Xenopus tropicalis: one gene and its partners. The protein of the gene in region 3 binds, or shares a complex with, the protein of the main gene of each other region. Links are inferred from orthologs where the notes say so. Each region holds a gene or a part of one and is shown on either strand. Other genes may lie near its edges.

Evidence for each region.
Region 1: the proteins of erbb2 (region 3) and grb7 are in contact, whole or in part, in an NMR structure (PDB 2L4K), measured with the Homo sapiens proteins. The link is inferred for Xenopus tropicalis from reciprocal best matches to the Homo sapiens genes ERBB2 and GRB7. Residues at the interface, in NP_004439.2 of Homo sapiens: Pro1135, Gln1136, Pro1137, Glu1138, Tyr1139, Val1140, Asn1141, Gln1142, Pro1143, Asp1144; in NP_001025173.1 of Homo sapiens: Ser437, Arg438, Glu439, Gln442, Arg458, Glu459, Ser460, Asn463, Gly466, Val468, Lys476, Lys478, His479, Tyr480, Leu481, Ile482, Tyr492, Phe493, Ser494, Met495.
Region 2: the proteins of erbb2 (region 3) and ptpn18 are in contact, whole or in part, in a crystal structure (PDB 4NND), measured with the Homo sapiens proteins. The link is inferred for Xenopus tropicalis from reciprocal best matches to the Homo sapiens genes ERBB2 and PTPN18. Residues at the interface, in NP_004439.2 of Homo sapiens: Leu1109, Gln1110, Arg1111, Tyr1112, Ser1113, Glu1114; in NP_055184.2 of Homo sapiens: Arg61, Tyr62, Lys63, Asp64, Val65, Arg138, Asp197, Arg198, Ser230, Ala231, Gly232, Cys233, Gly234, Arg235, Arg268, Ala273, Gln276.

Annotation. Positions count from the first base shown.
Region 1 is NC_030686.2:9,714,374-9,717,212, forward strand, and holds the end of grb7 (growth factor receptor-bound protein 7), read right to left. Parts: coding exon 2,794-2,839; intron 2,697-2,793; coding exon 2,609-2,696; intron 2,196-2,608; coding exon 2,102-2,195; intron 1,378-2,101; coding exon 1,231-1,377; 3' UTR 629-1,230; downstream 1-628. UniProt on the Homo sapiens protein: Adapter protein that interacts with the cytoplasmic domain of numerous receptor kinases and modulates down-stream signaling. Promotes activation of down-stream protein kinases, including STAT3, AKT1, MAPK1 and/or MAPK3. Promotes activation of HRAS.
Region 2 is NC_030684.2:703,647-707,296, reverse strand, and holds part of ptpn18 (tyrosine-protein phosphatase non-receptor type 18), read right to left. Parts: intron 2,826-3,650; coding exon 2,730-2,825; intron 638-2,729; coding exon 599-637; intron 169-598; coding exon 94-168; intron 26-93; coding exon 1-25. UniProt on the Homo sapiens protein: Differentially dephosphorylate autophosphorylated tyrosine kinases which are known to be overexpressed in tumor tissues.
Region 3 is NC_030686.2:9,815,409-9,819,058, forward strand, and holds part of erbb2 (receptor tyrosine-protein kinase erbB-2), read right to left. Parts: intron 3,441-3,650; coding exon 3,350-3,440; intron 3,257-3,349; coding exon 3,099-3,256; intron 1,851-3,098; coding exon 1,803-1,850; intron 1,702-1,802; coding exon 1,566-1,701; intron 1,462-1,565; coding exon 1,339-1,461; intron 31-1,338; coding exon 1-30. UniProt on the Homo sapiens protein: Protein tyrosine kinase that is part of several cell surface receptor complexes, but that apparently needs a coreceptor for ligand binding. Essential component of a neuregulin-receptor complex, although neuregulins do not interact with it alone.

The DNA of each region.
Region 1 (2,839 bases), about 100 kb from region 3:
AGCAACATCCAAGCCGTTGGTAAGGAATATGTTGTTCCTGAGCCACATCTAACTTATCAGCCCGTGGGCTGAATGTGACCCTCCAAGGTATTTCTATAGTCCTCTATGGGCAGGTAGGTAGGAAGGGGTTAAACTTAGGGCAAACTCCACTGACCACCAATGAACTGACCTCTAATTAGTGCATTAATCAATGGAACTCTTTATATGAACTGCTTATAATAGAGTTACATCAGCTGGTTATAATGCACACACATGGGCCAAAAATGTGGTACTTGGTGCTTGTGTTAATAATTGGGACCCCTATATAAATCACTTGTATGGGGGCCCCAAAGTTTCTGATGGAGGCCTTGTGTACAGCTGTACATCTGTGTGTACTTTACTATTGGACAGTTATGAGATTTTGGGTAGGAATTGGATAAATAATGGCAAATGAGTTAATGGCTAGGGCCCCCAACACCTACAAGTGGAATCAGGTGGATTGTTCTGTGAATGAAGTCAATGGTTTTTCATACATTATTTCTTCTGCGCCTCTGTACAGTGCAAAACTGGTGCTAAAATGTATGCCAATGAGGAGGAACAGGCCATGAAAATCCCAGAATGCACAGCAACAACACAGCAGCCACAAACGTTTGGGTAGTGCAGCTTTTCCTCTCTTTTTTTTTTTTTTTATTACGTGTCACGTCTGGGTAGATATAAATAAAATGTTCTCTTCATAAGCAGAATGAGGTTAGAGTGTTTTTGTACAAAAATAAGCAAAAATAGATGTCAAAAATATATATATAGTTAGGATTTACCATATAAAACATCTGACCATCGACTGGCCGTGTTGATATTTACAGTACAGTGCTCTCAGCAACAGACGCACCACTTACCATGGCATTTACCCAGCGTTCTTCATCTGTTCGTGGGCGTCCACAGAAAAGGGAAAGTGAGTCTTTCTTTGGAACCAAATTGTCTTATTGACTGCCATGACAGTCACGTGAAGCTTTTGCACCAGCATAGATTTTAAAAAATGTAGCTTATTGAGTTTCTTCTCATACCTCAGTCCTCGGTAGCTATCGTTTTTGTATCACTTGCCTTAATGCTGGGCATGCAGCTACTAGCCCCCTGTTGGACCAAACCATCCACAATACTACACTGTATCTGAGTGATACCAGTAAAAGTGGAACAGTCATCCCATTCTATGGCTTCCCAGTGGTCTTCTTTCAGAGACCCCAGCCAAGGCCCCTGTCACAGTGCCACGTTTGTACAGTAGTGTTTCAGAGTGCAAGGCAGGATTCCTCTGTTGATCTGATGGAACTCAACCAGTTGGATAAGATCAAGGAATTTGGTCTCTCCGTCATCCATTGAATAGTAAGGCCTGCCTTCTTCCTCACACTGAAATCAAGGCAACAAATAAAGCATTAAAATGTGGAATAACAAAAAATGCTGAGCAGGGATCCCTAACCTTTTTTACTCATAACTCACACTCAGGTGTTGGGGAGCCACACAAGCATGAAAAGTTCTTTGGGGGCCAAATAAGGGCTGTGCTTGGCTATTTGGTAGGCCCCATGTGGCCTACTGGCCTGCAGGAGGCTCTGCTTGGGGTAAAACTGTGTCTCTGGGCTTCCAAAACTTGTCTCCAAGCCAAAAATGGGCCACTGAGAGCAACATCAAAGGGGGTGGGGAGCAACATGTTGCTCCTGGGCCACTGGTTGGGGATCACTGTGTAAGAGGGTCAATTGTAACATGCATAAATTCATTGGAACACCTTTGTTAGACCATGGATGCAAATTATCACTAGAACCAGACAGGTTGTGAAACTTTGGAATGGGATTGCAGGAACAAAGGAATAGAGCAACAAGCAATAAGAAAGAAAGTCGGCCATTATTGCAGGCCATCCTGTTGTAAGAGGGAGATGGACGGGCTGTTTGGCAAGAATAAAATGTCGCTATGTCAGGAACATTCACAGAAGAGAGAGCCCAGCGACTAGAGGCGGCATCAATGAAGTTTAGCAATGTAAATCTGTTCCATATGAGAAGTAGAATAAATCATCCAAAAAATTTGCTTTGGGCAATGTTAGGGATCTGTTCTGCCATATTGGTTTCTGACTGGCACGTACCGGTAAGATTAGGTAGTGTTTGATCTTCTGCAAGTGGCACAAAGACAAGACGAAGCCTTTGGCGTTTCTCGTACTTTCCCGTACCAGGAAAACTCTGCAGGAAGCAAGGACATGGCAAGGATGAAATAGAAATGAAAATAAAAATACACTTTTCTGCCTGGAACTGTGCCAATAGCTTCATCTCTTACATTTAGCAGCTCGGCCCATACGCGGGAGTCAGACTCGCCTGCTGGGGTACCAGGGAACCTCTGTAGAGTAATTCCACTTAGTTCTAACTAAATGGTTTAGCAGGTTTTACTCCCACTAGTTGTGACAGTGAGCCCCACAGTCAAGTTCTCTTGTGTGCCCAAGAGGCCCAGTCTGACGCTGCCCACACACCCAAGAAATAAATGTTAAGTTCCCCTTGGCTGTGTGACCTTCTCAATGTTTATGATGTCTAGCTTTTCCCAACACAACCTCTGGGTACTTTAAAAGAACAGATATGACTTTGACTTGGCAGCCACTCACCCATCCACCATCCCTTGCTGCATGATTAGCCGCTGAGTCTCATCTCTTGACAGGCGCCCATGGTACCAGGCTTGAGATTTGTGAATTGCTAAAATGTTAGAAAATTGGTTACTTGTTAATCTTGGCAAACTTTCAGAGGCATGGGGACCATCACCCAGTGGAGCTTCAGTGGTTTGAAGACCTACCTGCACTGTTGGGTGGGGTGGCCTGACATGGGGTGGGAAGGCTGTA
Region 2 (3,650 bases), on a different chromosome or scaffold from region 3:
CGGCATTGACTCTGTTCTTCTCCAGCTGAAAGGAAGGAATGGGGTCAGCAGAGGATTGTGGGTCCCGGCTGATAAGGAGTTAATGGGACTTACCTTGCTGATGGTGAATGGGCCAAACTGGGCCGGCGTGGTGGCATCATCCAGGGGCCAGTATCGCTCACACTTTCTCTAGGGGAGGAATGGGGATATATAAATACAGGAGAAGGTGGGGCCCTACAGTACCGGCCCAGGGGCGTGGCCAATCCTCAAACAGGAAGTGAGGTCACATCTGGCATAGGAGCTGATGCTTTTGTGCCACTAAGGGGCTGTGGGGGCCCCGGGCTGGTGTGGGGGCCCACAATACACAGTGTAGCAGTTTTAGCTTATTTCTTTGCTGAGCTTTAGTTCCCCTTTAAACAGAAGCAGCTTGTGAATAGTGTTCAGGGAATAAGGGTAAGAAATGCCCCTGTTGGATCTGCCGGGGCAATCTGAGCTATTTGCCCCCCCTTCCCCCCCCCCTGTGCATATTCCCAACTAGGGAACAACCCTCCCCATAGATCAACCAATGGCAATGGGGGGCTGAGATGGGCGGGGCATTGAGAGACAGGTGGGTACTTACCTTTCCATGCTCCACCTCCCTGCACGCCATCACAATGACCTGCCCAATGACAAGAGACAAATGATGAGAGGAGGGATCCGGCCCTGGGGCCGACTGAAGGGCAGTGCCCCCCCCTCTTACCTTCACCTGGTACTGCCCCCCCTCTTACCTTCACCTGGTACTGCCCCCCCCCTTACCTTCACCTGGTACTGCCCCCCCCTCTTACCTTCACCTGGTACTGCCCCCCCCTCTTACCTTCACCTGGTACTGCCCCCCCTCTTACCTTCACCTGGTACTGCCCCCCCCTCTTACCTTCACCTGGTACTGCCCCCCCCCCTTACCTTCACCTGGTACTGCCCCCCCCCTTACCTTCACCTGGTACTGCCCCCCCCCTTACCTTCACCTGGTACTGCCCCCCCTCTTACCTTCACCTGGTACTGCCCCCCCCTCTTACCTTCACCTGGTACTGCCCCCCCCCTTACCTTCACCTGGTACTGCCCCCCCTCTTACCTTCACCTGGTACTGCCCCCCCTCTTACCTTCACCTGGTACTGCCCCCCCCTCTTACCTTCACCTGGTACTGCCCCCCCCCCTTACCTTCACCTGGTACTGCCCCCCCCCCTTACCTTCACCTGGTACTGCCCCCCCCTCTTACCTTCACCTGGTACTGCCCCCCCCCCCCTTACCTTCACCTGGTACTGCCCCCCCCCCCCCTTACCTTCACCTGGTACTGCCCCCCCTCTTACCTTCACCTGGTACTGCCCCCCCTCTTACCTTCACCTGGTACTGCCCCCCCCCCTTACCTTCACCTGGTACTGCCCCCCCTCTTACCTTCACCTGGTACTGCCCCCCCCTCTTACCTTCACCTGGTACTGCCCCCCCCCTCTTACCTTCACCTGGTACTGCCCCCCCTCTTACCTTCACCTGGTACTGCCCCCCCCCTTGCCTTCACCTGGTACTACCCCCCCTCTTACCTTCACCTGGTACTGCCCCCCCTCTTACCTTCACCTGGTACTGCCCCCCCCTCTTACCTTCACCTGGTACTGCCCCCCCTCTTACCTTCACCTGGTACTGCCCCCCCCTCTTACCTTCACCTGGTACTGCCCCCCCCTCTTACCTTCACCTGGTACTGCCCCCCCCTCTTACCTTCACCTGGTACTGCCCCCCCCTCTTACCTTCACCTGGTACTGCCCCCCCCTCTTACCTTCACCTGGTACTGCCCCCCCCTCTTACCTTCACCTGGTACTGCCCCCCCCTCTTACCTTCACCTGGTACTGCCCCCCCCTCTTACCTTCACCTGGTACTGCCCCCCCCTCTTACCTTCACCTGGTACTGCCCCCCCCTCTTACCTTCACCTGGTACTGCCCCCCCCTCTTACCTTCACCTGGTACTGCCCCCCCCCCTTGCCTTCACCTGGTACTACCCCCCTCTTACCTTCACCTGGTACTGCCCCCCCTCTTACCTTCACCTCACCTGGTACTGCCCCCCCTCTTACCTTCACCTGGTACTGCCCCCCCTCTTACCTTCACCTGGTACTGCCCCCCCTCTTACCTTCACCTGGTACTGCCCCCCCCTCTTACCTTCACCTGGTACTGCCCCCCCCTCTTACCTTCACCTGGTACTGCCCCCCCTCTTACCTTCACCTGGTACTGCCCCCCCCTCTTACCTTCACCTGGTACTGCCCCCCCCTCTTACCTTCACCTGGTACTGCCCCCCCCTCTTACCTTCACCTGGTACTGCCCCCCCCTCTTACCTTCACCTGGTACTGCCCCCCCCTCTTACCTTCACCTGGTACTGCCCCCCCTCTTACCTTCACCTGGTACTGCCCCCCCCTCTTACCTTCACCTGGTACTGCCCCCCCCTCTTACCTTCACCTGGTACTGCCCCCCCCTCTTACCTTCACCTGGTACTGCCCCCCCCTCTTACCTTCACCTGGTACTGCCCCCCCTCTTACCTTCACCTGGTACTGCCCCCCCCTCTTACCTTCACCTGGTACTGCCCCCCCTCTTACCTTCACCTGGTACTGCCCCCCCCTCTTACCTTCACCTGGTACTGCCCCCCCTCTTACCTTCACCTGGTACTGCCCCCCCTCTTACCTTCACCTGGTACTGCCCCCCCCTCTTACCTTCACCTGGTACTGCCCCCCCTCTTACCTTCACCTGGTACTGCCAGACCATCCTCCAGAAATCCTGTATGGTGTGCGGGAGGGGCCCCTGGGTGGCAATGTAACCGCGGCCCGGATCCGTGCCCTGCGCGACAGAGGGTTCATCAGTGCCCTGGCATGTACCCCATGTACCCCTGGGAAATACAACTGCCCCCCCATTATTACTCTGTAAGGCATTCCCGCCAATCAGAATTCTAATTCTGAGGCTGGCACTGACTCCTCCTACCCACTAGGGGGTACCTTAATGAAGCCGGCACAGATACCCGCTAATTCTGGGGCTGGCACTGACCCCTCCTACCCACTAGCGGGTACCTTAATGAAGCCGGCACAGATACCCGCTAATTCTGGGGCTGGCACTGACCCCTCCTACCCACTAGCGGGTACCTTAATGAAGCCGGCACAGATACCCGCTAATTCTGAGGCTGGCACTGACCCCTCCTACCCACTAGCGGGTACCTTAATGAAGCTGGCACAGATACCCGCTAATTCTGAGGCTGGCACTGACCCCTCATACCCACTAGCGGGTACCTTAATGAAGCTGGCACTGATACCCGCTAATTCTGAGGCTGGCACTGACCCCTCCTACCCACTAGCGGGTACCTTAATGAAGCCGGCACAGATACCCGCTAATTCTGGGGCTGGCACTGACCCCTCCTACCCACTAGCGGGTACCTTAATGAAGCCGGCACAGATACCCGCTAATTCTGAGGCTGGCACTGACCCCTCCTACCCACTAGCGGGTACCTTAATGAAGCTGGCACAGATACCCGCTAATTCTGAGGCTGGCACTGACCCCTCATACCCACTAGCGGGTACCTTAATGAAGCTGGCACTGATACCCGCTAATTCTGGGGCTGGCACTGACCCCTCCTACCCACTAGGGGTACCTTAATGAAGCTGGCACAGATAC
Region 3 (3,650 bases):
GATGTTTTCACCATCTGGAATCCAAATACCCTAAAAATGGGAAAGACAGCCACGGGATAGGGTTTACCAAATGGAAACATATTGTTTAACCACCCTAGTGCTCAACTCTTTTCTAAGCATAGCTAAATGAGGTTTAGACTGGGTTTAGACATCTCAGAGTCTTCAGAAGATCAACTGGGATTCAAAATAGGCCTTGGAATTTCAAGTACACAGAGGCCCTAACAGCCCCCCAGCAGCCCAATAAATAGTGACTATGTCTCAGAATGCTATGGGGCCTTAAAAACAGCAGGGGGCAGCACTAGTGCACTAGTGTAATTATTTCAGTGTCAGCTAGTTCTGCCTCAGGTCCAGTTTCATTGGAACAGTCTAGTTTTGATAAATGCTGCCCCATTCTGTAAGCTATGTCCAGGTTGATGTGTTGATTCCGCAGTGTTGGTTACACAATGGGGTCTGTGGTGCACTTTTGGGGTACTGGGATATTGTGGGGTGCCCAGGGTAGTATATATTCAGCTTGAATGATACCTTTGACAAATACAATTTTTCATTTTACTTTACACTGCTTTAAGCATTTCTGTGTTAGCGACCATAGCAACCAGATTGTACTTTATATTTATGGGTTGGTATCCCATAAATCAGTGCTGTCCAATTGGGCCAATTAATTCTTATACAACACGTTTCAGGGCCAAATTGTATTAAAATGACGATGTCATACAATGAAGACTATGGAACCCTAGAGCAAACTGGGGGCCAATTAGAGGGTCACATCCAGCCTGTGAGCCTCTAGTTGGACAGTCCTGCTATAAATGATGGCTAACTGTAAATCTTCATAATATCATCACATCCCCAAATACATATTTAGCTGCCGTTTCACTTATATAAATAGTAACGTATAAGGGTCTAGTTCAGAGATCCCCAACCTTTTATACCCGTGAGCCACATTCAAATGGAAAAAGTGTTGGGGAGCAACACAAGCATGGAAAAAGTTCCTGGGTGTGCAAATAAGAGCTATAATTGGCTATTTGGTAGCCCCTATGTGGCCGGGCAGCCTACAGAAGGCTCTGTTTGGCTTTACACTGGGTTTTATACAACCAAAACTTGCCCCCAAGCCAGAAATTAAAAAATGAGCAGCTACTTTGAGGCCCCTGGGAGCAACATCCAAGGGGTTGGAGAGCAACAATGTTCATTCCTTCTTGGTCAGTCTATTGTTCACTGAAGTAGTAGCCTCTAATTGCTTGATCTGACATACTGTATGTTGCACTGAGAAACAGTTAAATATGTAGAATTACAAAACAGTATCCATTTCCATACAAAACAGTATCCATTTCCATGATGTCTCACCTTGTACACAGTACCAAATGCCCCAGATCCTAGGATCATCATTTTCTTAAGTTCTGTCTCCTTAAGGATCCTCATCTGGGCTTGGTTGGGAATAGCCCCACTTGGAGTCAGCGGTTCCACAAGCTGGAAAAGAAAGCACAAGGGAAATGGAGAGGAGATCATATGCCAAGTCCCTGACTCCGGTCTATGCTCTATATAATAAACATGGGCTGTGGCACCACACACACCTCATCCTGTAAAAGGCGGCGCATGGTGTGCTTCTTCTTCAGCTGCTTTCGGCGCCGGATATACAGCACAATGGCAGTTGATATGGTTATCACAATCAGAATGCTAATCACAATTGAAGCTACCATGTACACTTGGCTGCAGGCGATGGGAGAAAAAGGAATAAGACAGATGTTATGGAAACTCAGAAGAAACTAGAACATGCTGCAAATCTACTAGAACTTAATCGCCAAACTTACCTGTTGTCTGGTAAAATTGGGCAGCCCCTTTCATCCAGCTGATTGCACCTGGTGGAACAACAGCAAGCTAAGTACTGTGTATTTATATTGACTACAAGTGTTATCCGATAACGGTTTTGGACCCTATGCATTATGCATATATTATTACTGTGGCTTATATATTGTGTTTAATCCCATAAGGGCTGTTTCTCAGCCTGCGTATAAGCCAAAATCCGCATTGTGTGTCTGCACCCAGGCCATTGTAGTGGCTCCAGGTTTAGATACACAACTGGGCAGATGCCCACAGATCGGCTTATTCTCGGTCTGCACTAATACGCAGGCCGAGAAACAGCCCCTCAACTCCTATCTCCTACCTTCGGTGACTGGACCTTAGTGTCGGCCCAGGGCAGGACACATAATGCGCATTTCAGTGTTGAAATGAGCAAGTATGCATTTCAGCCCCAAAATTCACTTTGTGTGCCTGGAGCCGGGCAAACGCAGAGGCTCTTGGTGCAGACACACAAATGAGTGGATGTCCGCGGATCAGCTAATTCTTGGCCTGTGCTTAAGGGCCGTGACAGACGGGGAGATTAGTCACCACGCGACAAATCTCCCTTGTCGCGGGAGACTAATCCCCCCGAAATGCCATCCCACCAGCTACAATGCAAATCGCCGGTGGAATGACATACGCGGTGCCGAAATCGCCGAAGTTTCCTCTCAAGGCAACTTCGACGATTTTGGCAAATCGCCATGCCGCGTATGTCATCCCACCGGCGAGAGAAGAAAGAGAAGGAAAGCTACTGATGCAGTTTATTGCCAATAGATTAGCCACAATAGTGCAAGCTAGAACACTATATTCTGCAGCAAGCTTTACTATACCTGAGTAAACAGCCCTAGAAGCTCCCTCTGTTTGTTTAAGAAAGCAGCTGCCATGTTAGTTTGGTCTGACTTCACTTCCATGCCTGCATCCCTGTGCTCTGGGCACAGATTACAGCAGAGGCAAGAGGGGGAGGAGGAGAGGAAGAGAGGAGCAAGCTAAGCATGCTCGAGCCCAAACCCTTCAGTCTGATACTGAAGAACATGTGGACAGAATAGAAGGAAAGAAATGCTGTGTTTCTTTTGGCAGAGGACTCAGGGCAGCATTGCTGTGGGTGTTTATGGCTGTATTTACATAGGCGTGCCTGATAAGGCTTACTTAGTTTTAACCTTTACTTTTCCTTTAAATGAATGCCAAGAATCAGCCCCATGTGGCATTAACCTATGTTGGCAAGGGTAGAAAACTAGAGCACTGTTGAGATACCAATGAACATTACGTACGAATGGGAGCAGTTGACATTGCATAACTGGCAGATCCGATCCTTGTCAGGGTATTTCCAAATGGGTACAAAGGAATTTCCCTTCACCCCACTAGGGCATTGCTCCACACAGTCTTCTCCGTCCAAATAGTGAGCACACTCCATACACTGGTGAGCTTCCTGTAGGAATAAAAACAAAAATAATTAAATTCGATACACTTGTGTATTTTGGTAAACCGTTTGTAGACTCCACATTACACAGGTTTAACTTACCGTGCCATTGCATGTCAGAGTTCCATTCTGTGGGAGGCACTGAGGGTGGCAAGGCACACACTGACTTCCATTAACGTGCTCTCTTGGGTATCTGAGGGCAAAAAAAAAAAACAAAAGCTCACCATAAAGGATTATGGCATGTTGTAGCTTGTACTTAATCAGGTCTGAACTGGGATTCACAATAGCCCCTGGCATTGCAAGTACACAGATGCCCAAACAGCCCCCCAGCCCAATAAATAGTGACTGTCTGTGGCACCTTATAGCCCCCCTGGCATTCCCAGTACCCAGAGGCACAAACAGC